Neodiprion lecontei: one gene and its partners. The main gene of each other region encodes a partner of the protein of the gene in region 2 in a complex. Links are inferred from orthologs where the notes say so. Each region holds a gene or a part of one and is shown on either strand. Other genes may lie near its edges.

Region 1 (10,210 bases), on a different chromosome or scaffold from region 2:
ATACCTATACGTGTCAGAGGTATGAAACCCACACGGACCACACGTGTGTATACGCCACACATGCAATATGTATAGCGACAAATTTAACCGAGATGGAAGTTGCGAGTATAGGCGACGCGCGTCATTGCGATATTATATCGCGAGATATACGTAAAAGGCAGTGTCGCTGCCTATACGTATAATGTGAAACGAACAAGCAATGCGCGAACTTTTAAAAATTCCGCTACATCATTCCTGGACTAATGCAATTAAATCGTAAAGTAATTTAAAAAAAAAAAAAACACAAAAACAATAATATGCTTCAATTAAGAGATTTAGTCATTTCCCAACTCGCTCGCCGCGTTCTGTGGCCCAGATTCTATTCTTCCGTTCGCCGATTAGATCGCGTGACGAATGACGAATTGATAAATTCAGCGAGCTTGGCAAATCACTCATTATTACCAGATTGAAGTTAGTAACGTTTAATGTAACGAAATATTGAAACTAAAATCAATGTTTTGAAAATTTAGAACGACGTTAAAGGTGTTTAATTTCCAAAATCTGCACAGCGCTTTTTACTTTAAAAAAATATATTACTCAATTCGAGAGGATCCTGCAATTGCGAAATAATGATTTCTCGTAAAAATGAATCGTTAAGTTAACGTTAGGAACTTGACCACCTTTAATTATTGACCCAGGTTCACGATGCGGATAGACGTTTGATAAGACTGGGACACGCGTACAGCGAAGAGGCAGAAGAGGCAGTAAAGCTTGTCAGCATCTTTGCGCCAAGACTGCATTCCTGCCGCATTGTTTCTCAGAATTTTCAACAACTCTGGTAGGTAGGTACGCCATGTGTGTGTGTACTTTCGTTTCGATGCGTGTGCGCGTGTAGCGGCTATCTAAGTCAACGCTATAGCACGCGATCCACTTGGACGTAGTATGCTGTGGCATTTCATAACGAAGAAAAATTTCAGAGAAAGAATTTTGCTCTCCGGTCTCAGCATCAAGCTCCGTCAATTCGTTATCATTGTATAAATATATTATTGCACATGTATTACGTGCGCTTGCGTAACGAGCCGTATGCAACGCGTTAGCAAAAATTACCGACTCATCGAAACATACTGAAGTTAGTAACGTTGTCGTAACGATTTCTGCTGAGGAAAAACCGTTGTTACTTCACGATTTTGAAACTGTCTGAAATTGAGTAAACCGTAATAAGAAAAAAACATGCTCATATTTTGCAATCTTAGTTCCTTCGAAATCATTGTAAAAATAAGATTTTTTTTGTAATTTATTCCCAGTCTTTCGTCGAGCGAACGTTACCAACTTCAACCTCGTCTTATTTAACACTAACGATTGCACCGCACGTTATATCATTTACGAACATAGCGTAGATACATCTTTCTCCTTTTTGTTCTTCGACTTTTTGTTCTTCTACTTCTTCTGTACTCGTACAATCAATCCGTCAGAATAAATGTAATTAAATTACACGTTCAAACCTTCTCTTTGATGCCGCACGCGAATAGAATTTCAAAAATGACGTACACCTATAGCATAATATGCGCCAGGCATGAATAACAGGAGGAGAAAATGATACGCAATAGCGAACAATGAATGCGACGATCGTTGACCGGAATCGCGGAGCGATAAGCGCCGGGTCTCTTCCGCTCTCGCCATTTCTCTGTTTTGTCATTCGTTATACGCATGTATAAAATCTTTACGCTGCTCGTCGCCGAAGCAAAATGGTAACCAGATAACTTGTGTTGCAAGACGAGAATCGAGACTGAAATTGCGACGACTCGCACGGTCAGCTGATTGTTGTGAGGCTGGATCACGAGCGAAGCCAGACGCTGGCGGTTTTCTCATGCTGCACTACCGTTACTCGCGGTCCTCCTTATTTCGCCACATGCGTTGTTTCTACACGTGCATATTGTACATGTATACAAGGGTGTGTCGCAAAACCACGTTTTTCGAATTTCGACGCGTACTGGTGCGGAAAATTTCGGTCTTGACAAAAAAATATTGAGTGATTCCAAGGAGAACATTTTTGGTTAATGTTTTCAGCTTGAGCAAACAGTTTTAAATTTAGGAATTTCCATACTACAGCCAAATTTTCCCGAATATAGTAAGGAAAACAAGAATAATCAATACTGGTTCTTTTTTTCAATAGATAGCAGGTAGTAAATAGGACTTTCCTTATTTTCCATTTTGAGCTGCATCTCTCATCCGTACCACTATAAACTTTCAAATAATATTACAGTTTTCAGAATGATGGATCACACTTGGGTACACATAAAAGGAAAACCCTGAGTCAGTAATGTGGTCAGAGTTAAGTCGGGAACAGAGCCGTATACGTAACACGCGAATAAGACTCGATTATTCCCTTCTTACACAATGTACTGTAATATTAATTTCCTTATTCTTCTCCACGTCTCTCGTACGCGAGCATTTCATTTTTACGTTATAATAATAAACAACAAACGCCTGCGTTATTACGAGACTTGGACGTCGTTGTTTATACGCCGGGTTTGACAAACTCTTATTACCATACAATGCAGTTACGGGTCCCTAATTCTTACAATCAGCCATATGACGACGAGAGAGACTCTCTGCCTCCCCCCCACTGCTCGCGATAATTCGTACAATCATGCATTTACATTGGCCTTTAATACGCTATTTATATGTATAAAGAAATTACATCCGGCGGGAGGATTGCATGTGTATATGACGTACTACATGCCTGGGTGCGAGTGTGTAAGTATGTTTCGAGAGAAGAACGGTACAACGGAAAGCGCTGCAACAGAACCGTGACACATATCCTTTATTACGTGCATAGCGCGCAGTTGAAGAAAGTATTACAGTATGTACGATATTCTGTAAGCGCATCGACGCATAAATATGAAGGCGAGATGAACATTCGGAGGGATTTGACGAAATTGTGGTTTGAAAAGCACCTGCAGTTATACGCGACACAATATATACATAACGCGTAACCTGTCGAGGAACGCGCGCCACGCGTGTATACGTATACGCATGTATATCTGTAGGGTAGATTGTACGGGAGATCGGAGATAGAGATTATATCGCCCGTCGGGATTTCTACCTGCCGCTCTTCTTCTCGACGACCCCACGTGCATATAAGCCTCGTAACCCCTGAACCCCGAATACATCAAAGCCGATTCAAAGTATCACACACGAGTTCACACGGTGCGTAATGTTTGTTTCATTCGAAATACCGAGTACAGCCGACGAGTACGCTCTGCGTGCATATCGTTAGAAGAGTGCGATATTACGCAAAATGCGGATAGGAAGGGTTGTTTAAGGGGATGCCCTGGTCGGTTTCGACGTTGGACGTATATATCTCCGAGTATCGAAGTCCACGTATCTCAAACGCGAAAAAAGGGTTTAATAAGCCCCATTCGTTACACACGATACTGAACAAAAACACTCCAACGCATTTTCATTTAGACGCAGAAATAAAGTACTGGCACGATTTCCATGAAATCCCAATAGTAGATTCGTAGATTTCATGCCATTTCTTTATTTATTCGTCAGATGAAAACTCATCGGAGTGTTTCTGTTCAGAATTGTGCAGAAAATGGGGTAGTTTAGCCCTATTTCGCGTTTGAGATACGTGTACTTTGATACTTGAAGCTAGGTAGGACAACGTTGAAATCCACTGGGTCACCCCCTTGAGGAGCGATGAAGTTTTTACCACAAAGCCTGGCACGAGCACGGGTCTATTATCCAATATTATCTCCGTGTCGCAAGGTGTTAGTTTAAAATAAACGTGAAAGGGCGGAGGCGCGGGATGCCGTTGCATGCACACCGCACAGTATGTGCGTGCGTACGGGCATGTACGAGCTACATTGATATGTATATATATTATATACACATACATATATACACACAGATCTGGAGGAAGGGGAGGTGGTGCGTTTATAACGCAAGCCGGCGCGGCGTGCGGCCGCCTAGACAAACAACCAACGTTTCGTTTCTCCTCCTCGACTCGACTCGACTCGACTCTACGCCACGCCGAAAATACACCTTTGATGATGCCTGACGTTCGGTTCGGTCGGCCTGACTGCTTGCTTGCTTGCTTCGCTGCCTGCCTGTCTTACCGCCGATAAAATACGCGCGATCTCCCGGTTAATATCATCGTCCGATTCGGTTGTGCGTTAAACCCTGTCACAAGTCACGTAGCGCAAAACGACGGTCGCATGTGGGTTTTACTCGTTTTACTCCCAAGCATGTACGTACACGGTTTGAGACTGAGACGAGGAGACGGCGGTCAGTTACTACAGCGAATGGGTTTATTGAAAGTGTGCAATTGGCCGCGCCAACGGAGCGACGAGACGACGATGAGAACGGGCCGATTCAATTCGAGATGATGAGGCTGAAGTCTGTAACGTTAACGTAACGCGAAAGATCTGGGAAAAAAATCGTCGTTGCACAGTTTTAGAATGACTTTTCAAATAGTAAGCTTTTCGAAAATAAGAGTACATGTTTTGTTTATCGTGGTTTACTAAATTGCAGACATTACTAATAAATGGTGCAAAGTAACGATTTTTCCTTAACATGCATCGTTACAGTAACGTTACCAACTTCACGCTCATTATTCGAGGCGGGTCTTCTTCCGTAACGAAGCTCGTAATCGCGGGGGATCAGCTCGTCTCCTTGTGCTATTTTCGAGGCCGTAGGTTCATGACGCGATTTCTGAACCGAGTTTCGCGAGGTTAAAACTGTTCTTCTTCTTCTTCTTCTTCTGCTTCTTCTTCTTCTTCTTCTTCGAGAAAGCAAGAGAGGAGGGGATAGAGAGTGGGAGATTAAAGGCCGAAGATTAACGCCGGTCAACAGTAAAAATCAAGCCAGCGTAGACAAGAGCCGCGCTACCTGTACGGTCTCCGCAATGCGTCTCGCTCTTCCTCCTTTTTCTTCTTCTTCTCCTTCTTATTTTTCTTTTTCCATTTCCTTTTCTTCTTTGCAGAAGTTCGAAGAGCCCCGCAACGCAGGAACGGCGGCTCCAGCCATCCAGCGGCTGTCCGACCAAGAGTCAGAAGAAACAAGAAAACCGAGACGGCGGCGGCCTCGAGCGTCGCCTTATGTATAGTACACGCAACGACGTGTGTAAATATCGATGCGTCAGCGTTAATCTTGGAATAACTTCGAATGAACGAAGCGCGGCTGATGCTTGCACGGAAGCTACAGCCGGACCGAAGGAGTGCGGATCGAGTAAACACGCGGTGAAGAGACGGTGACGGGTGATCGGATCGTGATGCCGATTTTCACTTTTCGATACACAGGCATATGTGTGGTACGGATATATAGGAATATGGATATATATATATATATATATATAGAAATGCCTGTCGCTAATTGGCAATCAACTCACCAAGGTCTTCGACGAGACGAAGCATGACGCCACCGATGTGAAGTTCCCCCTTAACCCGGAGGCTTCTCTCGACCTGGAGATCGGTCACGAAGACGCGCAGCACCCAGCTGCCGTCGACCTCGTGTCCGTCGGAGTACATCCTGTTTAGCTGACGATGGCCTGCGAGCCGAGATATATACCTGCGAGCGAGCGAGCGAGTGAGCGATTCCGGATTTCAACGTTCGACGCACTTTGCCCGGCTGCCTGCCTTCTTCTCTTCCCTCTTCCCTCTTCCTCTGAGCCTTTGTTACGCTCTTCGAATCAAATCTCGCACTATAATCATGGCTGGAATTTCTCTTCGTGTAAAACTTTATCGAACGACGAGAACAAAACAAACGAAAAAAAAAAATAAAGAACAAACTTTTGCAATACCTTTGCGCGCGGTTTTATTTTATTTGCCTTCGGAAGGACGAAAATTCTATCCGCCTTGGAACGCGCGATCTTAACTCGACACCGACACACCGGATCTACGTTACTATATATCTTCAGCCTTTTTCCACGGCTTATCGACAAAAGTTTTCTTATCTCCCACTCGAGCGACCGTTACGCGACTCGACGACAAACCAGAATACTCCGGACGGCTCAGCGGTCTACGCCGTACAGAGCCATCCGTGCTTGTCCGTCCCGGTCCCCCCCTTCAGCCGCTTCGCCCAACATCCACGACCGACTTCCGTTAGCTCCGCATCCCGTTTTCGTTCTTGTTCATTGGTCGCCCACCTCGTGGCGCTGCGAGACGCATCTGATTGTAAGATCGAGTCCTACCTTACCGCACGCGGTAACTTGACGTTTGGTTACCCACGCCGTGGCGCTATTTTTGAATTCCGTACCTGAGTAATCGGGAAAACAGAGAACCGTGTTAAAATTTCGTACAACTATAAACGGTGTATAATATGAAAAATAATTATTACAAGATTTGCAATACGGTGTTTCTACTAACGAACCTTCCGATTAAGAACTACGATCGATTAATTGTTGCTTGTAATTCCTGCCAACCTATCGTACGGACTGCTGCAGCGTCGAAAAATGAAACTGCTTAGCGGGAGATAGTCGGATAAATACGAAACCTCGAAAATATGTACTTGGTATATGTACTTTACCCTTGCGAATTCACAGAATTCGCGACATTTTCTTTATTTCTGCGTCAAATGAAAATGTATCGGAGTGTTTATATTCAGAACTGCGTATAGAATGGGGTTGTTAAGCCCGTCTTCGCGTTTGAGGTACGTGGACTTTGATATTTGGAGATATATAAGTCGGCGTCGAAACCAATCAGGGCAACCCCTTAATATTATTAGATGCTTCAAAAATTTGTGCGGAGCATCGTTTGCAAATCTCAAATTTACAAAACTGACTGATTAATTTCGGAAACAACTATTTTTGGAAATACTTAAGGTTTTCCTGCGGGTTTTATAATAAAGCACTTGATCACAAGGGTCGATAAATTCATTTTCCCGTTCCATTCTCATTCGTGGACGAGGAGCGGAAATTTAATTATTTTCGCATTGACAGTACTGGGAAATAAATCTAACATCCGATCCCTTGTGTAATCAGCATCTAACAACACGCATGCCTTTTCCTTTCATACTGTATGCAGAGTCTGCGATACTATAGATATATAATAAATATTCATGACACAAGTACTTTTATACAGAGTAAACTAGTAAACATTTATGCAATAAAAAGTTTCAAGTTCCAAATTAATTTTCATCGAAAGGGCGGCGTTGTAGAATACTTGAATAATCTGCTCCCCTTACGCTAATACAGCTATAAATGAATTGAGTCTGCATCAACATTTCTAAATAATAAAACCGTATTCAGTTTGAAATTGTAGAAATAGGAGCGGGTAGCGCATAGTATTTCGAATTCCTATCAATAATTCATTGAAACGTGACCTTGTAGTGGCATTAACGTCGTTCTGTCCTTTCCTGTCCGCCAAAACATAGAAATCAAATCAAGTATCTGTCGCGGACGCTTGGCAGGTATTATAATTTCCAATGGTTAAATTAACATCGTTCGCCAATATTTCTATCATAATTTATGTCGCTTAGATCGATAGTACTTTGTTAAAGGTCACTTGCATGCTGTCGATACAGTGAATTTCCTTTCTGGTCCACGACGTTCGTAACTTAGGAAATGAACGGAATCTCTAAAAATTATATTATCACTGAAAGAACGAATGATCGATTTTAACCCGTAATAAGTTATGTCGCACGATCGACCTAATTTTCTAAAAACGTTTTCTTTCATCGCTGATTGTTATTTATCGATTGTTCAGATGTCGTATTATCTTCGTTCACGCCTCATGACGGAGGATCTCATCGAGGAAGATGGGGATGCAGGTGAAATGATCAGTAGTAAAATGAGCCAATAAATTTTTGGAGATGGCATTGAATTATTTTATTTTTTCAAGCCCTGAATCACCAAGGTCGACGTTTGAAACAAATACACGTTTTAAAACACACCGTACCAAACTATTTTTTTATTTTTTTTTTTGCACGAATGTGCGATGCCGCACAAGTACCGTCTTGAAATTTCGCCAAGAAATATGAAAAATTGAAGAAGTTATGAATTTCTAAGTGAAGATCCGTGTTTTGTCGAAAAAATTTTTCTTCAGACTATCAAATCAAAATTTTACAATTAATCACTGAGAGCATATTTTTCAATATTCAAATTACGTCTCTAAATTATTTCACGGCAATATAACGCATCATCCTGCTTCAGTAATCGCTCAAAGTTGACTCCTGTCAAATTTACCCTGTGTAATCGTTATAAAACTGTACTGAAGTACAATCAGTACGGGTTGATTGGGCGCGAGAATTATTTTTGAAGCCAAGAATTACGAAAACGATAGGATAATAAACAGAATCTGTCGTTACGTAAACTTGTCGATCCACTATTTGAGTGAACGTTTATCTGGAAATTAAGAATTCGTAGATTAAAATACCCACAAGATGTAAATATGTCTACTCAAGGAACTGTCCAAACCCTACAACCTCGGCGTACAACCGTATTCAAGTCTACGACTTCGTTATCTGTTGGACAGATCCATCACTAATATCATACCTTACAACATCGACATTTCGATACGAATGATCGGCATAATCCGTCACGTATCGATCAAGGATTATCTCATAGCATAAAGATCTACCGAAATGTATGTGCATATTATGTTTTCATTATAGCTCCGAAATCTGAAATACAGACACAACTCGACTCGAATTTTGGAGGTAGCTATATTTAATTTGACCACTGGTTCTCTCCCACGACAGAATCTTAGCCTACCTTTGCCAATTATAAATACGAGTCGGCTCTTCATCACTGTTCCAGTGATAGCAGTGATTTTGGCTAGTTGAATAGTTTCGACGGTCTCAGGTGCTCCGAGAGGCGGTATCCCGTTTTAATATACCGCAGTTTTCGAGATGTCCGTCACACTCGCGGACGCTGGTGCAGCTGCACGTGATGAAACAACGGTCGAGAAACTATGCGAGGAGGCATACAGAGAGAAAATTGCCGAACACTGGACGTGGAATTACATTTGGAATAATATCAAATGGAGTCAGTTTATTCCCATGGTAATACTCAACGTTGGATTGGTAGGATCCCTGACGATGTACGCCTTCGGACTACATTCGATACCCATTAAACCGATGACCGTTGCTTGGAGTGAGTTATACGAAATCTAGCCTAATTTATTGAAGTGCTTCAAGCTGATATTCCTGAATCTAATACGTAAAGTCGGCATTCAAGGCGGTCCCTTCGTTGATTGCTAAATTTATATTAAATAAAAACTTTTTACGAACAATTTAAATGAGGTTGAAATTCGTAACGTCAACGTACCGAAACGCGGTGAGAAAAATTGTAATCTCACATCATGTTCGGAACATTTTTCAATGAGTTTATTTTGCAAAATATGAGCTGACTTTACTATGTTTTGCTTAATCTCAGACAATGCTAATGTTGCAAAATAATCCGTTCTGCCGAAAATGCATCGCTTTAATAATGCTACGAACTGCAACCTCGTCAGTATAATCCGTTGATTTCACTATTCGAGAACACTGCGATGAACGTTAAATACGTGTCATAATCTTCAATGAAAAGCATTTTTTACAACCTTAGGTTTCGATGGTTGATTTGTGTTACACCTCCAATTATAGCCGATCACCTAAGGTGGACGTCTGAAAGAAGATTTGCTTGCACAAGAGAAAATTCATATTTTCTATCGAACTAAATATCTCTCATAAGTTCGAATGATTTACGATGCATCAAATTATGACTATTTTGTACGATCACCTTCGTAACAACAAATTTTCTCGCGTTTACAGCGCGTCATAATTTTATATACATATTAAGCTAATGCCCTAGCACCAGACGATTGAATTTTATTTCAGAAATTTGAACTTTTCGTAGGACTGACTGTAACGGAAAAATGTACTTGACATTTGAATAAGCAGACTTTTCGAAGGTTCGGAACTCTATCAATTGGAATCAGACAAGTTTCTCAACTCGGAATCTAACATCAACCAATAATTCCCTTGAAAACTAATGATTTCTCACAACTTCTGCAACAATGGCTATTTTATTTCGTTAATGCCGCAGTATTCATCGTCGGTTGTGGAGCATTCGTTGGAACAACGGCAGGAGCACATCGGCTCTGGTCTCACCGCTCGTACAAGGCAAATCTCCCGTTGCGAATACTGCTGATGTTCCTCTACTCCGTTCTCGGATTGGTAAGCGTACCCCTGATCAAAGTACCGAGAAATTTGAGAGAGAGCAAAATAAAAGCTCGTTAAAAATTTT
Region 2 (9,891 bases):
AAAATCATTGACTCTCCAGGTATGATCACAGGCAGAGATTGAGGATTTTGTATAAAGCTTGTCGATTCCCCAGGTATTTTTAATGAAGGATCTTGAGGCTCTTCTCTGCAGCTCAAAACTTCTTTAGGCATTTTTACAGGTACAGGAGCGTCTAATGCCTTATTTTCAAAACTCATGGACTCACCAGGTATTTTCACAGTTGGAGAGTTAGGCTTTTCCATATAGTCTGCTGATTCCCCAGATATATTTGGAGAAAAATTTTGCGACTCTTCTCTGAAGCTTGAAAACTCTGCGGGTATTTTTAGAGGAAGAGAATGGAGATCCTCTGCAAAGTTGAATGATTCGCCAGGTAGTTTTTGAGTATCAGTGGTTTCTCTAACTAATAACTCGAGAGAATTGCTATGGTTCTTGTCTAAACTGTTGATGTGATGAATTGAATTCTGGTTAGGTTCTTCTATAGCACTGATACTAGCTAAGTTTGGTTTACTAGATATTAAATTAAACTGGCTGTCATCGCTCGTATCTTTTTCAGCTGTACCAAATGACTGTGGTTGCAAGAAATTTTTCTGTTTACTCAAAGATTTTCTAATCCCCGTATTCACATCACGAAAAGTATTAGACACATCAGTACTAGAAATTTCTGGCATTATATTCGTACCGTCTTTTGCTGAATTAGTTAGTGAACTTGTACTTGGCAGGCTCTGAGCAGAGCCCTGAAACAAAAACTGTTTTCTTATCAACTCTTTACGTCCTAGTGATGAAGCGTTACTCCCACTTAATACATTCATGGTTTTGTCTATTATTTCTATATCATCAGTTGATATCGACCCATCTCTTGACATTTCCATACCACCTGGGACACCTTTGTCATTAATTGACTGTTCAGGTACCAACAATGTCTGACTAAGTTTGTAATCATTTGCCGTACATCTCGTAATTTGTTTTTTACTTTTAGCGATGCTAATTGAATTATCGGACGGTTTTTTTCCCCCACTATCAACGTCATCAATGACGTTGCTGGTGGTTGCATTGTGGTTGTCAACAATCGAAAATCTGCTTTCAAAATTCTCTGTGTTTTCGTTAATAATTCGCTCCTCACGTGGAAAATTCTTGTTGTTCATAGCCTCAGGCATATCTAGCATAGCGGAACTTTTCCCATCATCTTGATCAGAGGAAAGTGCCGTCATCTCCGTCTCTGCTGGCATCTTATCAGAGCATAGCTATATGGTTACTCACTTCAATTGATTGGCCACTGGCAAATATTGCTGAAAAAACATAAAGGATACGTGAAAAATGTATACTAATCAAATACTTACATAAAGACTATATCGTGTTTTTGCAAATAAAAAACATACTTTCAAGATGTACTGGTGATAAGACATATTTTCGGATGCGTTTATATGATAATCAACTTTTGGTTACTGGAATAAATAACGAAATTTGATTATACTATTAAGTAGCGTAAGTAAATTCGGTAAATATATAGCGGCGTGTGAGGTTGATCTCGTGAAGAATAAAAATAGAATATTCGATATTTCGAATTTGCTGACGTTGGTATAGATTTTCAAAGCTCTCGACTTACCCTCTACGATTGAATTTCGGCATTCCAAAGTAGATAGATCAACAGATAATCACAAACCACACCTCCAGTTTTGATTTTTCATTGGTATTCGGGTATTATTCAGTCTAATTTCCGATAAATCGTACACTTCTGCGTATAATGTGGTGTGTAATTACGATGACAGGTTTGACAGCAGGATGTAGCAGACAGAATCTAGGGATTTTTTTTCTTTTTCTTTTTATTAGTCATCGCTTGCGTTTTGAAGCGAGATATTACGATTTGACCCGCGAAAATCAAATAAGAACAAAAAAAAAACCACGGCCATCAAGAATAGGAATTTGATTATTTATTAATTGAATAAATTCCTTTTATTACAGTTTTAGTCATTTGTTTCGGTCAATGCCGTCGCTTCAGCCTCTCGCCTTTTACAGATTTGGATTGCTGTGATGAGTCGCGCTGCACGGTTCATGTTCTCTTCGAGTTCTTTATAATTACAATTTACCTCGCTGGCGATTTGTTGCACCTCTTGAAGCGTCTGAGAACCAAGAAAAGGATAGTTGAAAATACAGTTTGAGTTATGAGTTTTTTTTTATGACGGTGCAGTTCAAGTTGTCAAAGCTAACCTTCTTTATGTTCCGATAAAGCTTTGCTGTTTTTTCCTCGTCGAATTGGCGTGCGTATTGTACATAGCTGCCGGAATAAGAGGAAAGTGTGTCACTCATGATACATGTAGAAACTATATTTGTACAATAAATGAACTATAGGATTTTATCAGGATATTTTGATTTCTTGACATGCGTTGTTTCCCTCGCAAATGAAGCTGTCAACACAGGCTGTCAAAATATATCAATATGGCGGGCAACGTATTTTTACACAATTCCATTTCCGGATTTCAAATACGACTGAATTGTAAGGTTACATTACGTCCAGTATTTTCAGAACTTCGGGCACAGACTTGCTAGCTTATGGCATAAATTAATTTTAGACCCTGCTCCTATATGTATATAAATAATAATATCAACTGTGGTTGCGGGATGCGAATTGTAGATAAGAAAAACTATCGAGTAACACCGTACCTGCGTGATTGTCAGTCACTGTTTCAAAAACTTATAAGGAAAATTTGCGATTTAAAAAACTAATTATAAACTCTACATTAAGCAGTTCTGTTTCTGTGAAGTTCAGTTTTTTCGATATACTGATATACACGATGTAAAATTTAGTAAGTGCGTATATAAATTGTTTGCAAATAGGGTTTCTGGGTGCACTGAAGGCGCATAATTAAAATCCGAATACGTAACATTTGCAGCTTACTTGCGAAACACGAACCTTATATGCATGCAAAGTTGTATTATGTTTCAAGATTATTTAGATTTTGTAGCCGCAGCTGAATGATCGCATCATCATTGAACGATGACTAATTCGTCGCTGATTTCCCACCGGAAACTAGCGGATACGCGGTTGTGGTACAGATACTTAGTAATCAACATATAAGGCAGGATTGGAGAAATATTATACAACATACATACTCCTGTGAACAGTCGGCGAGGTTGGGCGCAAAAATAGTCGTATAGTCGCGTACCGAATTAGTACACTAGACATCATCATTAGAGCTGAATAAGCTTATTTGAATTTCCCGCTTATTTGGAAAGTGCATTCGGCGAGATGTAACGAGCGCGTTATCGTGAATAATCGGATAATCTCGGGTCTTTCTCGGGTGCATACGGGACGGATGTGAGTTCATCGATATAACAATACTCGCATATGCTCAATTCGAAATAACTCTTCTGATATTTTGTCCAACTCTAGTGACCAGTCGTCTACCCGACGTTGAACGAACGGCTCGTTATTGAGTCGTTATTCCGTGGCGGTGTGGGGTTGCCTTTTATGGTGATCCAAAGTTGTGAAATTATTTCTTCGGAGTTTGTGATGTTATAAGGACAGCCGATAATCACCTTCAAATCTAGAAAGTAAGAAATGTATATCAAATTTCATATCCGGCCTTACCGAGTTAAAAATACGTATATCAAATTTATGGTTCACGGATTCTCATCTCCGTAACCTTTTTCATGCTAATGCGGTGTCTTGTAAATATAGAGATGACGGCATTAATGGATGGGTAATCGAGACGTGTTCTCAAACCTAAATGATCTGCAAGTGGAACAAATCTTTGTCCCAAAAATATCACCGTTATCACCCTTCGATTTACTGGGCAAAAACCTTATTCTTAAGGGACAAATATAGCGTGGGAGAACTGGTTTTCGGCCGCACCTCACTCGCGCATTTCACAAGTACAAATACCATTTATGACAACGTTCTACGAAACGAAAGCGCTTCTTGTTATTAATGTGCGTCACAAGAAGTAGTGAGGAAATATCAATCCTTCGATCAAATCTAAGAAACATTTGATTTAAAAAATTTCCTCGACCCTGCAAGTCAAACGGATCCATCTCTTAAATTTAATTAGATAATTAAACAATTACTGAAATAAAATTTCACGTTTTCATTAGTACCGAACAATCGCTACACCCGTTTACAAATTAGATACATTGTTTTGCTTGTTGTCAATATTCTCAACCTATTATTAATTATTATACAATCAGATGTCGCTCTTGTTTATAAAATTTGCTAATATGGATGCAAAAATGTTGTATACGCCATTCATGCGACCATTTGTTTGGTAAAAAAATGTGATATCCAAAAACAAGTTTGTAAGAAAATGTTTCAGTTCTATATAGTGAATCCATTATCTTACTTTCTTGTTTGCACTTTTGCTCTTGAGATAAGTATGCATGTTTCCAGCTTGTGTTCTTAAACGTAGCAGTATAACGTATTATTTTGGTATTCAGTTACAATTGAAAATTTTCAGTGATTTTTCCGTAATCTAGGGATGAGGAAAAGTAATTTTTAATCAAATTTATTGACATTGAATCATGTATATCGGATGATTTCATGCCAATAATCATTCACGTACGAATATGACCAACCAGATACCATCATCACAGCATGTGATATTACCAAGTAAAAGTATGATGTCTTACCTTTGGCTTACTAAGAAAATCTGACTCAGCAGCTTAATAATAGACTCCTGTTGCTAAATGTGAGGGTGTAGAAATAAGAATCCTAACTGACCAAAGAAGTATTATATTTAGCTACAATGATAACATTAATTGGTATTATTAATTTTTACTTAAATATGTCAATTTTGATTACTTTATGCAATGCACGATGCCGGTACTTTGCAAAATAAAACGGATAATGTTTCATTGTACATTTATTGTGGTGGGTTTTTTCAATGGTCAGTGTACTTATCATCGAGCTGATTCATTGGAATTCATTTCATCTTAAATTTTACATTTCTTGTACTTTTATTTTATACTTAATTTCATTATCCTCTTGCTGTACAAAGTAATTTACACTTTACTAGAATGCGTATTATTTCTCTCTTAGTTTCACATATATCTACCAGTTTCTTTCAATTATTATTCCAAGTAGACAGCATAATCTGTTTTCATGTTAATTTTCAACTGTCACACGATATCCTTATAAGGCTTTCTGTATAACCACATATGGCTAACCAGGAATACGTAGGGCAACTGAATGTCAGAAGATAACGTCTATTTATTTAGAATTAATATTCTGCTAACTTTGTTACAAGACTGTATTCAGGAATTCACACGCTTGTAAATAAATTTTAAAAAATTTGACTCTTCAGTATTGATATCGAAAGGTGTAATTTGTTGCATAGTAATGTTTAGTACCATTGTGTACTATTGTGTCAATGAAGTTGCCTTTTTATTTTAGTAGGATTTTCAATTTCATCATAATTAACAGATGCGGCATTAGATTCAAATTTCCTTTGCTTAATACTTTTATATTGGTTTTTTATTTTGCGATTGCATTGAATAAGGGCAATCCTTTTCAATAAACTGTGCAGTACAGCGGTTCTGAATTTGTTGAGGTATGAATTCATACTTGTTCGGTTGCAGTGAAATATGCAGAATGTAACACATATCCATTGATCTACAGGGATGTTTGGCAGCTTAGAATGGGCCCTGGCCCTTGTCACAGCGATAGTTTTTGTTGCTGTCAAAGCTGACTACCCTCTACCTGAAAGACTCACTGGAATGAATCCCTGTATCAGCAAGCAAACCTGCCACGAATGTATACAAACTCCACATTGTGCTTGGTGCGCTGCTCCTGTAAGTTGGATAATTTTTTTCTATGTTAACAAAAAACCCTATGTAACGGAATGGGCTACCCTGTTGTTACATCTGTAAGTATATGTAAAATATGTATTCCTATGTTCACAGAAATTTTCGGAGATGAGGTGTTTTTTGCCAAACATAAACACAAAAATATATGCTACGTGCCCAAAGAAATATACGCGGTATCCGAATAATGTTTATGATGTGATTCGGCACGCGGAATTAACAAAGGGTGGTTATTCATCTGTAGCAGGTGGTAGTGAATTTGAGCAAAGTTCATCCTCTTCTTCGTCTTCCTCATCGTCTTCCTCAAGCTCTAGCTCTAATCATACGAGTTCTAGCAGTGGTAGTAGGAGACAGGAGGCGATTCAAATCTGGCCTCAAGAAGTCGATTTGACCCTTAGGATAAGTGAGTGAGATTTTTCAAATTCCAATTATTGCTAATTGTTGACAATTTTGCTATTTCCTGAATTATTAACAATATTTTTTACCAGTGAATTTTATTCTTATATGCAATAATTACTTCATTCGTCTTTTCCATTGCTTTAGATGAGGTGCATACTATGTCTTTTTCATACTCTCAAGCCGAGGATTATCCAGTTGATCTTTACTACCTCATGGACTTGAGCAAGTCTATGGAGGATGATAAAGAGAAGTTGTCACATTTGGGAGATTTATTGGTGCAAAGTATGACTAAAATAACAAGTAATTTTCGTTTGGGATTTGGTAGCTTTGTCGACAAAGTAGTTATGCCCTATTTCAACGTTGTGCCTAAGTCGTAAGTAATGAAAATTTAGTTTCATTCAAATCCATACTGTATCTAAGGTGTGAACAGTTGTTGAATGTTGGTGAATGTGTGCATAGACTTGGAAAAGCAATCAACAAATTATTATTTATATATTTGTCAGATGTTATGTTTGCTCAAAAATTGAATTACAAAAAATATTACAGGAATTGAGAAGTTTAGAAAAGACAGAACCAACGATCCTTGAAGTTGTTTAATACTCATATAGCAGAAGTAAAAAATAAATTTTATGTTTCAGCCTTGAGGAACCATGTCCTGGTTGTGCAAAACCGTATGGCTACAAGCACATCATGACGTTGTCACAAAATACTAGTGTTTTTGCTGTAAGTATATCTAAATTTTATTAGTCATCTTCATAATAATTTGTATCTATGATATTTATGCAATATGTCAGCACTACATGGTATTGTGTTGATATGTGTGTCCAATTATTAATTCAAAGATTGAATAACGTATGCAATATTAAATGCGCATTCCTTGCGATGATGTACAATATTATTTCTGTCAATTTATTATTATCATTAAATATTGAATAATGCACATTTTAATGGAACTAGTCACTTAAATTGATTTTCAAGCTATAACTCCATTAGAAATGACTATTAATGGTGAGAAAACTTGATTTCGCATAGTAATTGAACATTGCTTTGCCGATTATAGGATTTGGTTCGTCGTGCATCAGTGTCTGGTAACTTAGATGCTCCTGAAGGAGGATTTGATGCTATAATGCAAGCAATTGTGTGTCGTGATAAGATAGGATGGCGTTCCAAAGCTCGCAGACTTTTGGTATTTTCAACTGACGCAGGATTTCACTACGCCGGGGATGGCAAGCTTGGTGGCATCATAAAACCTAATGACGGACTATGCCACCTCGACTACAGTGGGCTGTACACTCAATCAACATCGCAAGATTACCCCAGTATATCGCAGATTAATCTCAAAGTAAAGGAGAATGCGATCAATATTATTTGGGCTGTAACTGAGGGTCAAATCCAGATATATAGAAGGCTTACAAAGCATATCGAAGGTTCATTTGCTGGCAAGTTATCTGCCGACTCAAGTAACGTAGTGGATTTGATCCGCGAACAATACGAGGCTATTTCCAGTTCTGTGGAAATGAAAGATACAGCCAGTAGTAGCATAAAAGTGAGATACTACTCGAGCTGTTTGGGTGCTGGTCCCCCGATAGAAACATCGAAATGCGATGGCTTGAAAGTTGGTACCAAAGTGGATTTCTTTGCGAAAATTGAAGTTACCAGCTGTCCTAAAAACAGATCTGAATGGAACCAAAAGTTCAATATTTATCCAGTAAGTAGTTCAAACTTGCAGTATGGCTAATAAAGGTTTGAGAGAATCAAATTTGAAGACTTAGTTTGAAAAGCTAATACCTCCTTGATGTTTCAGGTCGGTATCAACGAAACTTTGACTGTTAATCTCCACATGATATGTGATTGTGACTGTGAACATGCTTCGCACCCCATGTACCAGATAAATTCACCTGAGTGCAATTCAATGGGCACTTTAAAATGCGGGGTCTGTGATTGTTACGACCAGTACTTTGGTAAAACATGCGAGTGTACGCGTCATCACGAAAGTGATCAGTCCGTTATGCGTGACAAATATTATCAAAGCTGCAGACCGGATAATACATCGTTGGTTGACTGTTCTGGAAGAGGTAGTTGTGCCTGTGGTGTATGCGATTGTGATACCAGACAAAACCCTGATGAAGTAAGTTTTCAACTTCCTAAATTTTATGTATTCAAAATGTCAGGTCTGATGATGATGCTTGATAATAGCCTCAATTATAATTTTTAAAGTTTTTTATTTGATCGATTGCACTAAATAAAAAACAAAAAGATTAATCAGTAATTCTGTGATCAGATTTATATCTGATAGGCTTCTCTACGATTTACGAAAATTATATAAATTTACACAGTATCGAAGTGCGAAGATATTAGAATAATACATATTCGGAATTATAGTTTGAGAGACTTTATCTAATATTGTTATAGGTGATTTCTGGACCGTACTGTGAGTGCGATAACTTCTCATGTGATCGTCACGACGGTCAGTTATGCTCCAATCATGGAACCTGTGAATGTGGTGTGTGCAGGTGTGAGCCCGAATGGACTGGACCAGATTGCAATTGCCCATCATCAAATCAGACTTGTAAAGCTCCAGGATCAACTGAAGACATTTTGTGCTCAGGCCATGTAAGACTTGTAATTAGAAGAAAACAAATGTGATGTGAAATTGAATTTGCTTTGGAATTGTCAAGTTAACTCATTTTTGTACAAAGCTTAATCACTATAAGCATATTTATTGTTTTAAGTTGTTATATTTTTTTTGTGTTTAGGGTGATTGCGTTTGCGGAAAGTGTGTCTGTCGTGAGGATGGAAATCCACGTCATTCAGGAGACTTCTGTGAAAAATGTCCAACTTGTCCTGACCGTTGTATTGAGTTCAGAAATTGCGTTGAATGCAAAATATATTCAACTGGCAATTTTAGTAAAGAAGAAGATTGCGATAACAATTGTAAAAACGTTACTGTTGAGGCAGTCGAACTAGTAACCACTGAGAATGAAGTATTCTGCCATCATATAGACGAGGATAACTGTAAAGTGAAATACTACTACTACTTCAACCAAACGGAAAATCAAGTAGTTGTCGCAGCGCAAGAAAAAAGAGAATGCCCGACCCAAGTTTTCATGCTCGGAATCGTCCTGGGAGTCATCGCTGCGATTGTACTCATTGGCTTGGCTCTTTTATTACTTTGGAAATTGTTGACTACTATTCACGATCGTAGGGAATTTGCGCGATTTGAAACAGAAAGAATGATGGCTAAGTGGGACACGGTAAGCATATTAATTTTTTGCTATAAATTGTGTAATTAATATGTACTCACATAACTTGTGTCTCATTGTCATTTGACATAACATCATTAGGGGCATCATATTTCGGAATTATTGTATACCAAAAATTTTTTGTTCATTTCTCTGCGAAGTATAATCGATACCGATTTATCGAAATACCGGAACACCAAAAGATACTGAAATACACAATAACTGAAATAATGAAAACGAAAATATTTACGATTGTACAACGATCGGAGTTTTTGTTTTCGTGCAGTCGGTGGATTAGATATGTTAAGATATTCGATGAGCAGCTCTTAAACTTACCACAATATTTTTTTTTTCATTAGTTATTCAAAATTCGCATTTTTCTCGGCGATCTCCGGTTTTCTTAATACGAAACAACATTATTCTAGTATATCGAAGTGTATGCTTATTAACATTTTTTAGCAAAAAACTGCTAACCAAT
Region 3 (12,574 bases), on a different chromosome or scaffold from region 2:
TCGGATTGAAGTGAATCAGCTCCAACAAAATCTAGTTTTCTGCTTCAAGAATTCCTTTGCTTTCCTGTAGTTCCGTTAGTAATGAGGCTGAAATCGATCTCACATAATTTCAACTACTCGCTAATGTCGTGGATAATTTAATTTCAAATTAAACAGCTAAGTTATCTCAATCTCTTTTTTTTTCAATACCTTCAGTCCACTGTAATATACAACGAAAATTTCTTATAATGGATTCATAATTTCACTGTCATAAATTTCAAATTCACAATATATTGACAATGATTTTAGTTGGAAAATTTAAATATGGGGCATGCATGCCAACTCAATATGCGATTGAAACTGACCACTTTTGATTTCACCAATTATTATCTTTCTCTCTGAATGCGGATCACTTATAAGTATACCACTGGCGAAAGTCAGTGTATATGCACTGGAAATTAGTGGAATATCAGTGAAAATTTGTAATTGATTGCAGTTTTATTTTTGTTAAATCCCGAAACAAAAACTCACTGTAACGGAAAAAATGGGCAACCTACTTCAATGCGCCTTCTGGAAAAAATGTATCGTGGAATTCGTTAACAAATTGATTTTCTTGGTAGTCGTAAAATTTCTTCTATCGCGATAACAAGTGACTATACTATACTTACGATTCGAGAACTATTACTGCACTGATTATGTCGACAGCCTTGATCTCGTCAGTCTTCAATATCAGGCAATTCAGTAAGCAAGTATTTAATAGTATTCAAGTGCCAGGCTATTGAATATGCAGTGTATGTCAATTTACAGACTGTCTGCAGCGTACGTCACAATATAAGAAGAAGGGTGTTGTCCTTGAGGATGTATAGAAAGTAATTATACTATACACAACATCGATCAAATAGCAGCTGAGTATGCCGAATTGAATATCACAGCAAATGAAAGCGAATTGAATGTAAAAGTGAAACAATTTGACATAAGAAGGGATACTTAAAAAAAAAATTTTTTTAATCTTTCCATACTTGTCAACATTCGCTTTGACCCTAAATCTTTCAAGTTTTGAATCATTCAATTCCTTCTAGCTTTTTTCGATATATCACTAATATCACCTTCATACGATGATAAAGATTAGAAAATACTGAAACTGAAATAATTGTAACAAAAATATCGTTCAACTACATTTCATACAGATAAATGATTATGAAACTGAATTGATGCTCACCCAATTTCAAATAATGTGAATACGTCGTACAAGCTGAATATAATATATTTTTCCTGGTCAATGAATTTGGTCTCAACTTAAGTTAATGTCAATTGAATGATCAGTCTGACGAGAGAAATAATTGAAACACATTATTCTATAAATGACCCGTCTTTTCATTGCACTCAATCCTATAATTATAGTCAATTAAATTTGAATTCACGCGATTACAACTTATACCACACAAGAAATGTAATTGACATCAGAAAAGTAATTCGTTTAAAAGCCAATCTAGAGACAATCGCGTTTTATATTTATCGAGAATAACCATTAATCCTGTCAATTAAAAATTCTTTGGTCGAAATAAGTTTATCCGAATAGATTGTACGTTCAGCTTATGTAAGAAACAAAAATCAAGTGCAAATGGGATTTCTTATGCTCATGAATTAACAGTAATTATATAAGTTGTGTAATAAATGTTTCAGTTGTCAAAAGATATCGCTTTATCATTCACAGTTTCGTTGCACCGTTTTTTGAATTCACAATATCGCTGTGATTGACAGTAATACAAGATTCTTACAACGGCAGGTGAACTTGAGGTGATAAGAGGTTTCTGGAAAGTTGAACTTGAATTTTTTGTTAATCTCCAATAAAGAAAAATGCCTGTTCCACACTAATCCATATTATTTTCCCTCATTTACATTACCTATCCAAGAAATGGAGGCCACATTATAAACAATCCTCGGATATCAAACAATCTTTAGCAGTAAGATATTCTGCGTTTTCAATTATTAGCAAGCAATGTCTCGTAATTAACTAGAAATTTTGCAGGACTTCGTTTTAGGACATATCGAAATTTATGGGAACAACTATAAATTGATTAGAATGAACTGTTTTTTACGCAAAAGTTGATAGGTATTTGATATTGTGACATTGGTGGATGTATATAAAACTACGTAATTAATAAAAAAACATATTGTAACAAGGACAGACCATGCGTATTGCATAATTAGTATTAAGTATAAGGTATTTTACGGCAGGAATGAAATAGTTGAGACACTTTGTATTAGACCTGTTTCTTGATAAGACGTGATCGATAAAACATGGTTTGCATCCAACCGAATTTGCAGACCGTATTGAAACTCAATGTATGATTTAGTTGAGATTTATTTATTTTTTGGCGAATTGTAAATAATGAAACTTGAACATAAATTGACAAGATCGTTAGACTTAAAAATACACATTGTTTTAATCTCTAGCGTTAAAAATTGCGAAAAGAAATGTCAAGGACAATTACAGAGTATTGCAGATGTTTCCTTGTGGCAAGCACAATGCAGGTCAAGACAAGCATTTAATTCTACAATTTTTTTTTTTTTTTTTCTTCACTAAGAAGCGGACATCGACAAATAAATATAAATATATTTATGCATATAAATATTCAACATTTGAAGAATTATATATGTATAGGTGTATATAAAACAGTGTAGAACGCAACTCAGACCTTCGGTAGAATATTAAAAAATCAAACATTGATAATTTGTACAAAGGCATCAACGATAAAGCTTTCAACTCCAGCTTACAAGTATCCATTACGGGTATATAAAGTGAAAATGTATAATACAAATATATAATATGTATACTAATGAATAATATACTGAGAGTATTCGGTGAAACATACTGGTTCAACAAATATTCATGGTTCAAGTCTATGATAATAAACATTGGATAAGTTGGAAGAATCATGGAGGCAGGAGTTTTGTATAGTATACATAGATTCTATCAAAAATATTACAGTTATTTCAAATATTCAAGGCACCAATGTGAACATGCAATGTGAATGCAAATTATTATTATTATTATTAAGTCAAGTGAAAAAGTTATACGATGTTATATATATTACGTTAGATTGTATTAAAAGAATGCAGCAGTTTGGTGCTTGTTACGACGTATACATACATGCATGTGTGTATATAAAATAAGAACATTAAATGAACACAATGTGGTTTCTTGTAACCCATCAGCGTTTCATCTTATCAAGAATAGGCACGACCATATCAAACGAGGGACGTTTACCAGGATCTTCGTTCATGCATATGCGAATCAGCTTCGCAAGATGAGGAGAAATCCCTGGTGGAATACTGACGCGCAGGTCTTCCATAGCGATCTGGAATAGATAAGATTTCGACTCGTTAAGGCAAGTTTGTCATACGGAAGCTGGAATTGCAGTAACTGCATCCGACCTTCATGCCGCATTCCATGGGGGAAAGATCAGCGAACGGTACTTCTCTGGTTGCCAATTCCCAGAGCAGGACTGCAAAGCTCCACATATCGCTGGCCTCGAGATTAATGTCAGAAGGTTTTTTATTCAATGCTTCCGGAGACATCCAAGCGGGTTCGTAAATTCTTCCAACTTCTTGGAATGAAAACTTAGAATCAGCCATGTTTACTCTTGCAGTGAGATCCTCGTCTATCTGGAAATCATGAGAAACATGCTCACTTCTCAGGATTCATGAAACAATTCAATATTTTAATACAGAGTAGCACCAGAAATCGGACTGTTTAATTTTTTTTAATTTTCCTGATTTAATGAGCCTATTTTCTCCGGCTTCCTTGCCATTTTTGCGCCATTAATACCCAATATCATGATTCAAAAATGCTCATATGCTGTTCAAGGTACCTTTTAGAGAATCGTGTGTAATATTAAGTAATTGTTACATCAAAGTGAAAATCGAAAAATTATTCGATTTATTGCAATCGTATTGATATCCAATTTGTCGTCAATTATTATTACAAAATAACTGAAAATATTCTGAAAAACAAAAAGAAATATCTTCCCAATATTTCCCTGCAAAATTTTTAGATTTTATGTCGCCACCCTGTAACGGTGTCTTTCAATGAAACCTAGTTGCAAGATCAGATAACGTACTACGCAGTGTTTTTTTAATTTTTGCTTCCCCTGCTTACCATGACATGTTTACTGTTAAGATGAAATCTACATCTGCTCTGCCTTTCAAGCCCGTGCAGAAAAGCCATGGCCCGCACAACGTCCAATGCTAATCTGAGCGCCCTAGCTGTATCGACAACGACGCCAGTTCCTCCATGTAAAAGTCGATGTAAACTGCCTCTGGCCATGTATTGAGAGACGGTCGCGAGTTGTGGAGGCTGGTTAACGCAGCCAAGAACTGGGAGAATGTTGGGATGAGAAAAAATTCGGAGTTTGGGAAATTCCTCATTGAAGTCCCTTGATATTCTAGAGGTGCATTCTCTGAGGTTTAGTATTTTTGCCACGATATCGTTGTTCTGCCACCGTCCTCTCCAGGTTTCACCGCTCGGACTACTCGCCAAGTGAGTATGTAGCGATAAGTCCGCCATATTGATTCCTTTGTGTCTTGACAAAGTTGCATCCCCTGCGAAAACATGGATTTTCTCATCTGTTTTACTGCAATAGCGAGGAAATGTGAACGATCGCAAGAAACTTTCATTTAGAAAAATCGACCATATCCACGTCAAAAGGCATTTTTTGTTATGTAAATAATGGAAGAGTGCAGAAAATAGAGCTGAGAAGAAGTTAAAAAATTAAAGAGTAAATCTCAAATTAACTTGACGCAGATTAAGAAAAGATACTGACCATTACTAATATCACAAGCATATAAAGGTACAATATTAACAGAGTCGATTGTTTCGAGCCTTTCTTTAATCCACGCCTTGAATCATTGACTTAGTTATTTTGATACTCACTGCTCCTGGTTTTCAATCCAAGCCAACTTTGATCCTTGAAATGAATCTTTTTCAAGTCCTGTCCGTATTCAACGGCGAGATCTGAAAAAACGAAGTACATTTTCTTCATTACTAGGTATTATGTATAACATTTTACAATAATAAAGAAGAGAAAGTATATCCCATTACCATGCAATCTTTTTGCCAGAGGTCCTCTAGCCTTGTCCAGCGGAGTATCACCGTCTTTGTTGGCGATGGAAACCAAAGCTCCAGCGGCTACCAATTCCTCCGCCACCGCCTGATCACCCCAGAAGCAAGCATAATGCAAAGCGGTGTTTCCGTGTTCGTTGGTCACATTGACATCGGCACGATTTCTCAGCAGCTATAAAAAAGAAGAGAATTGCAATTAAAAAAATTTCTCAATTTCACCGATACATATTTTCATTGGCTTTAAGAGCAAATTTTATCTAGCTGATCTATGATAAAGATTTGCAAAAAACTATTGACCCGATCTTTGTTGTTTGAACACAGTTTTTAATTTCGAGACTATTGGGGTGTAACTTTTCAGATGCTCTCCTTATAATAATACAAAGGAGTACGACAAATATCGAATACTAACCAACTGAACAATGTCCTTATGCCCGTGTGCTGAAGCAAGGTGGAGTGGCGTGTCGTCTCCTCTATTCGTTGCATTGATGCGAGCTCCTCGCATCACGAGCAATTCAGCCAACTTTGAATGGCCTTCCTTGCTGCACCAATGCAGCGGGCTAAAGCCGTGATCATCCCTGATGAAAATTAAAACAAATGGAAACAAGAGTTGAATTATATGAATGTTTGAATATTCACTGTTAGTTGGAAATGTAATATTTAAAATAATGCACTGTCCTCAAATTTACATGAACATGAGTCATATTTCTGATTTGTATAATGCCTACCTTTCGGCTATAATCAAGAGCAATAACGTAAACAAATTTCTTGTTGTCGATGTCAAGAAAATCGTCACTGCATATAATATTTGCTTACAATATCAACAGGGTATCACCAAATTTACGAAATGTTGAACTGGTTTTTCCGACCCACGGCGCATTAAATTATACGAGAAAAGGAAGGCAAGACATGAAAATCAAACATTATTCTTTTCGGAAGCAAGTTCGTTTATCAAAGGAGAAAAAGAGTAAAAAAAATTCAATAAGTCAGGTCAGTACAATTTTTTTCTTCACAATTTATATTGTGATTATGATTCAAACATTATTTTAAAAGAATAATCATTTATTTTTTCATGTAGATAAAAGTGACATTCATTTTCTTGTTGACAAAACTGATTTTACAAATTAAAAAGTAAAGTGAACAAGTCGATCATTGTTGTGCAGACAAGAGGAAACTTTGACAAACATTTCTTCACCAATTTTGGCACTCTGTGACAATTGTTCTTTCATTATTTTATCAAATTCCAGTAACATATTTACAGAGGTAAGAGACTGAGGGTAGTCAAATTAGCAATATAAATTCTGTAATTCTGGAATGAATTCAAAAAAAGTAGTTAGCAAAATATGCGTATGTTTCACTATATCACAAATTACTGAAAATTTCAGACATAATAATGTTGGGTCTTCCAAGTACAACGCATATGCATTATGTTTTACACAGTGTAGTAATACGGATGGGTGACATTGGTTTCCTGCTAAGGAAAAAAACATAACAAGATTGTGGTAGAGTTTTGATAAGAAATTTCTCGTACAAAAAATATTATACATTGATGTATCAAAAGATTCGTTATTACAGAGCTTTCATAATTTTGTCCTGCATCATGTAGCGATTATTCCGATTCCTGCAATAATTTGGAAACTAGTGACAAGAGTTTTAAAAAGTGCTGAAAACACGTCAAGATCAGCTGATTGCGAAACTGCAGCGGACTTCCCAGCGTTCAACCATAAATGGTAATGAGCAACTCCCATGATCTTACCCTTGGTTCATGTCATGTTCGGTGTCATCGAGCCAGACGCGAACTTGCATCGCGTTTCCTTCACGGCACCAGTGAAATATATCCTCCATTGTTAAAGGGGTTTATAACAATTAATTAACGCTCTCTAAAAATAATATAGCTGGCCGACTCCGTCACGTCCGAAAAAGAGCAACTTCGGTCACGCTCTAAATATAACCATATTTATACGCACGTATATCAATGATTGTAATAAACTGCAATTAGCTACTGGACACACCAAACGTATAACTCGACGATTTTAACTCTGGGATGAGAATTTATGAATCGTTAACACTGTCGATCGTATTTCTAACTCCATCGGCACACACCCAAATATTGTGTAACTCTTTACGCTGACATCTCTAATTATAAATCACCGTGTGCGATCGTGCGATGTCGCATGCGGGATCATATCGCTGCTTCCCAGATTCATTCGTCTCAAGCTTCTATGAATTGTCTCTAGATGGCACTGCCATGATCGACATTCCGATTTAGCCATTGGCTAAAGAACGCTCATGATGGCCAGCTCAATAGGGCATTTTGAAGAAGCGAAAGGGTGCGGAAGTAACGGCAATGCCCTACGCTTACCGACTGCTTATGCCTGGTCTACACGAAGGTTAGAAAGTCTTGTTAGCCATCAAACGGAGTAACGAGAAGAACTTAAAAACTGTCAGTTAGTGTTTATAACCTCAGTAATACAATATATGAAGCAATATAATGCAATGTTCTCCGCAATTTTATTCATTAATTAATAATCACTTACCTATCTTTTATTTTTCATTTTTTGAATAGCTTATAATCAACATATCTCTCATCTGTAATTCGAAACTCATTTTGTTTGTTGTAAACTCTGGTGATACTTGAACATGGATTATATTTTCATATCAATAATTGTTCAAGTAATAAATATGTACCAAACTTGGTTACGGCAAAATGCCGACCGAGGAAAAGAACAAAGCACAAAGAACGGGTTCAAACCACGCGAGATTTTAATCTGTCATTTCGGTACGATTGGCACTACTTCTCGTTGAAAATTGAGCTTAAAGTGGAATTCAGAAAATCTTTGAGTGGAAGGCGCTTGAAGTTCATATAAACTCGGCTACACATCAGCTTTAATGGAGGCGCACTTTAAGACCCCCACTTACAGCGTATGTGTAGACCAGGCATTACGGAAATGCAGCGTTTATTTGTCGACACGGACCACAGCAACGACACTGAAACCTACACCTGCTATCCTACACGGCCTACACGGCACAAAGGAGCAGCGAGCCCATGGAGACTAGAGTAAAGGAGTCCGAACGCATATGGCGGAATCGTCGAAAAGTGGTTCGTGAAAGTGATGAAAAATCTTGTAGACGGGATGTATCCGCAAGCGATACCAGCGCCTGGTTACGAATAGGATACATACGTAGGATCGACGATTCAAAATCACCGCGCTGACGGAGCCTGCAGTGGTAGCGCTGCCAGGCGGTTACAATCCGCGGATCGTTCATCACTTTCACCGATCATTTGGCTAGCATTGCGTTCAGACTTCTTACCTCTAGTCTCCATGAGCGAGCCGAAAGAGATAGCGTCATAATATGTCACTGATATATATATACACAATATGTAGCTTCATCTCTATCTTACGGCATTGCGCATGCGCTCGTGACGGTATCGTAAAGCATCTGCAAAAAGTTAGGCTAACACCGGCACCACGGTGTAAGAATGATATGGAATAATAGGTGGTACGGCTGCGGCTCGGCGACTGTGATTTCGAAGTTGGTTAAGTGTGCTTACAAAATTGTGCTTTTCCGAGTATCTTATTGCATTAACGTTATGAATTTCAAGCTGCTAAAACTTGCGTTTTCATCAACCTACATAATTTTCTCTTTTCACGCTTATGCTTTAGATCGTTTCGAGTACGAATTTTCACCCATTGTGGTATTCTCATAGTTATGTAGTAATGCATGATATATGATACAATTTCATCCTTGTGTTATTCGCAAGGAAATGAAAATCTGTACTTCTGTATCATATCAGACACAGTAGGTTCATATACAGATTGATTCTCAGATTCTATGTGCTTACAGAAGTATTTCTCAATTGCTAATGAAAGAGATAACAGAAATATATTGCCATGAATTGAACCACCTCTGGTTTTCATATTAATCGATTCTTCTTCGCCAAGAGTATCATTTTCTTTAACTGACTGAAAGGCTTTGTGACATACTTGACACTCATTTTGCTTTCTCAATTTGGGGTACAAAAACCCAGTCACGTGATATATTTTGCAATTGACAACCAAAGCTGCCACATAATCATGGTCAGTCTTTATATATCCCATAAACTATGATATATTCTCAGTCAACGCACACAGGCCTGGGAACTCTGCTATTTTTAAGTGGTGGAGATTGTTATCGTAGTGTGACCAAACTGTTTTCCTTGTTTGCCCACTAATTGCGCTGTCGTACCAGAGTATTGTAGATACAGATATATAGCGGGGCAGAAATTGGAGCATTTGGTGGAGAAAAAAGCGACTGGTTGAGGACAAGGAATGGGAGTGATGCGTGGAAACACTATGCCAGACGGGTAACAATAACGATCGACTATGGGAATGAATTACCCTTGGCTCAAGGGATCAAATTCGAGTGAACTGTGAAAAAATCAAACCATAATTTATGCAGGTAGAAATAACAATGAAACAAAACAAAAGAACTACAACACTATTTCTGTACAAATTTATTAAATCTTCCATTATGCTTACACATAGAAATTGATTAGTGAGGATGAGTGTCTTTTCATGTTGTTTACCTAATCCAATTCAAGTCTTATAAAATCGACTTGGACATCAATGGAAGTATTTTTGTGAAACTTGTACGCTCCAGGAAGATCGTATCGTAATTCAGCGACGATTTTTGCCGTTGTTCCAAGGCGTTTTGCAGTCCTAACCACATGATCCCGGGTGCTAGTCTTGTGGAGAGAGTAGACGGCATGTCAAGCAATACTAACTGTTGTCTCCAAAAAGTTGACGTCCGTTCTAACATTGCGTTTTGAGCCAAAAGGCAGATTCATCACAACTGGGGTCACAGTGAACTGCCTCGACATCAGTTTCTAACTCAAGGCAATTAGTTTTGAGCATGGACAGCGCATCGGCATCAATTTCAAATCCGACGACATGACTAGTGCCAAGAAGTCGGGCCCCGAGTGATAGTACCCCACACCCTGCACCCAAGTGAGCAATAGCCTTTCCTCCTATATCGTCAAAGTGTGTGTATGCTGTGTGCAGGATGTGCGCCCCGATGTGAGCGCTCGTGGAATATTGTTCAAGACGAATTTTTGGCTCTTCAAATCCATCTAATTGTTGAAGACACTCTTCCAGCTCTCTGAATCGCATGGGTACCATTATAGTCACAATAACCATTCTTGTATATGCCTGATAGTAGTTCACTGGATCTCAAACCTCGGGAATACTGGCAGGATCAAGTTACCAAAGGCCGAGTCCTGGGCGACGAAGAACCCAGTAGAGGCTTCATGTGCGTTCTGAAGGGCTGCACTTTGAGAAGCACTCAATGCTATACCATCCACCGTTGTTGCAGGATTCTGCTGATAGTGTAAAATATTTAAAGTGCGATAGTGTTGCGATCCACGTGAATTCAAACCACAGTGTAACAATAATAGGTGGTCGGGCTGCCCTATCCCCGCAATGCCAAGTGCTTGTGATTATTTTAGCATAATTCGTTGCACGCCCACCAGATGGTTACAGATCTGTAGGACCATTGTAAACAATAATGGCAAAACGCAGTGTTCAAAACAAATCAATAACACGATATTTATAAACTATGAGAAAAAAAACATTATTTAAATATGGGCAGGAGTCATGTTTGTCATCAACGTGCGCAAGACGAGTGTAGGGAAGATATATCTTTTTTCACCGTTCCCAAAGCAATCGAAATATGTAATAAATGGAGAGATACAATTGCTCTTACTGGGATAGTTATAAAAAGGACTCAATATGTTTGCCAAAAACATTTCAACCCCGATCAAATACTTCTGTGAGCACATAGAATCTGAGAATTCCTTTGTATATGAACCTACTGTGTCTGATATGATACAGAATTACAGCTTTTCATTTCCTAGCGAACAACACAAGGATGAAATTGTATCATATATCATGCATTACTACATAACTATGAGAATACCACAATGGGTGAAAATTCGTACTCGAAACGATCTAAAGCATAAGCGTGAAAAGAGAAAATTATGTAGGTTGATGAAAACGTAAGTTTTAGCAGCTTGAAATTCATAACGTTAATGCAATAAGATACACGGAAAAAGCACAATTTTGTGACTCAAATATTGTTATAATTGCAAAATAAGCAGGACACAATGTCTTAATCAACTTGGAAAATTATGTAGTGCAGTTTACTGTTTTTGAAAGGTTCGAACCCTCAAAGTTGAAATTTGTTTTCGATTATTCTGTTGCGTCAACGTTACGAACCTTAACCTCATAGGTTTATTATGACTTATATTTATTTTGTATTGCTTTATGTTTCACATATTTTATAACTTGTTATTATTTTTGGTATTTTATGTTTTCAACTGCAACTTCTGCTCATATTTTTGTAAATATGACACGCTCATCTCATGATTAACCTAAAATTACCCTCCTCTCTTTCGAACACCACATGCCGCCATCATTGTTTACAGTGGTCTTACTGACCCATATCCGTCTGGTGGAGAAGTACAGAATTATGCAAAAATAATCACAGCCGGGCCACCTATTATTCCTACACCGTGATTCAAACAAACAAAACATAACCTAACCTCACTTCAACCAACCTAATCTTATCCGAAACTAAAGGATTCGTTTGACGGACGTACCTCAGTCGCAGCAGGAGTAGCGGGTGATACGTCAAGCGGAGTCAAAGAAGTTCCAAGAGTAGGCGTAACGCCCTGCTTCAAAAGTAGCTGCTTCTTCAACTGTATTTCTTCCAGTATTTTTCTGTTTTCTAGTTCTGGGAAAAAACAATAGGCATACGTGGAGTCGCGATAATTTTTGGGACTTTCAATTTACACATAACCATGTATGAAGTATCTCACATCCTTACCTCTAGAATTTGGTTGCGAAAAAGCCATTTGATAGGGACGTCAAACTTCAGCAGCCGAACGCTTTAACGTAATATCACACGAGACACGTCCAACTCCTACGAATTCTTAGCCACAACTAGTGTGAAATCAGATGGCGGCGGCCCAACCAGTGTACTGATAATTGGCTGCGACTGTAGCGCTAAAAAGCGTGCCGTGGTTGAAAGCAGTACTAAACTCTGAGCAGTTTCCAGGCCATCGACTATGCAATCCCAGCATGAAGGCCTTCGAAAAGTGTCCCACAGAAGGAATGAGGTGGGGGTCAACTGCTTTCTCTCTCTGTCATATTGCTACGGTCCTGAATAGAAAGAGACAGAGATTGACCGCCACCAGTGGCTATCTCTTTCTACCAGCTGGCCGTTTTCTACTGGCCTAAGCGTAGTCCATACTGTCGATATGCCAGGACCTGGGTTAAGGAGGGAAACCGGTTTATGAGGTCAAAATTTTGCTGTTTTTCATGATTTTTTTTAACCAGGAAGGAATAATCACAAATTGTTTAAACTTGGAGGATATTTTATTTATGTTTTCAAGTACACTTTAAAATTTTTTCAAACGATTTCCGCCGGAAATAG

What was found.
Region 1: integrin beta-PS (region 2) and unc-112-related protein share a complex: the UniProt entries of both Caenorhabditis elegans proteins name them as parts of the integrin containing attachment complex. The link is inferred for Neodiprion lecontei from reciprocal best matches to the Caenorhabditis elegans genes pat-3 and unc-112.
Region 3: integrin beta-PS (region 2) and integrin-linked protein kinase share a complex: the UniProt entries of both Caenorhabditis elegans proteins name them as parts of the integrin containing attachment complex. The link is inferred for Neodiprion lecontei from reciprocal best matches to the Caenorhabditis elegans genes pat-3 and pat-4.

What each region holds. Positions count from the first base shown.
Region 1 is NC_060263.1:389,139-399,348, reverse strand, and holds the start of unc-112-related protein, read right to left. Parts: upstream 5,514-10,210; coding exon 5,375-5,513; intron 5,297-5,374; exon of another isoform or gene 4,970-5,296; intron 4,878-4,969; exon of another isoform or gene 4,025-4,877; intron 822-4,024; exon of another isoform or gene 681-821; intron 1-680. Other genes in the region: acyl-CoA Delta(11) desaturase-like, read left to right, coding at 8,833-9,076, 10,010-10,140. UniProt on the Caenorhabditis elegans protein: Component of an integrin containing attachment complex, which is required for muscle development and maintenance. Probable regulator of cell-extracellular matrix adhesion. Required during initial muscle assembly to form dense bodies and M-lines.
Region 2 is NC_060261.1:40,083,980-40,093,870, reverse strand, and holds the start of integrin beta-PS, read left to right. Parts: upstream 1-3,376; 5' UTR 3,377-3,528; intron 3,529-5,587; 5' UTR 5,588-5,589; coding exon 5,590-5,760; intron 5,761-5,871; coding exon 5,872-6,175; intron 6,176-6,315; coding exon 6,316-6,544; intron 6,545-6,809; coding exon 6,810-6,894; intron 6,895-7,231; coding exon 7,232-7,879; intron 7,880-7,975; coding exon 7,976-8,299; intron 8,300-8,583; coding exon 8,584-8,784; intron 8,785-8,927; coding exon 8,928-9,425; intron 9,426-9,891. Other genes in the region: uncharacterized protein LOC107220248, read right to left, coding at 1-1,205. UniProt on the Caenorhabditis elegans protein: Integrin alpha ina-1/beta pat-3 is a receptor for laminin. Integrin alpha pat-2/beta pat-3 recognizes the sequence R-G-D in its ligands. Plays a role in cell migration, morphogenesis and probably in cell-cell interactions.
Region 3 is NC_060266.1:7,822,910-7,835,483, forward strand, and holds integrin-linked protein kinase, read right to left. Parts: upstream 7,318-12,574; 5' UTR 6,947-7,317; coding exon 6,858-6,946; intron 5,680-6,857; coding exon 5,514-5,679; intron 5,277-5,513; coding exon 5,084-5,276; intron 4,997-5,083; coding exon 4,916-4,996; intron 4,585-4,915; coding exon 4,142-4,584; intron 3,649-4,141; coding exon 3,418-3,648; intron 3,342-3,417; coding exon 3,195-3,341; 3' UTR 2,327-3,194; downstream 1-2,326. Other genes in the region: rRNA N6-adenosine-methyltransferase METTL5-like, read right to left, coding at 9,895-10,278; SOSS complex subunit C homolog, read right to left, coding at 10,302-10,460, 11,739-11,872, 11,966-11,993. UniProt on the Caenorhabditis elegans protein: Probable pseudokinase that acts as an adapter protein. Component of an integrin containing attachment complex, which is required for muscle development and maintenance.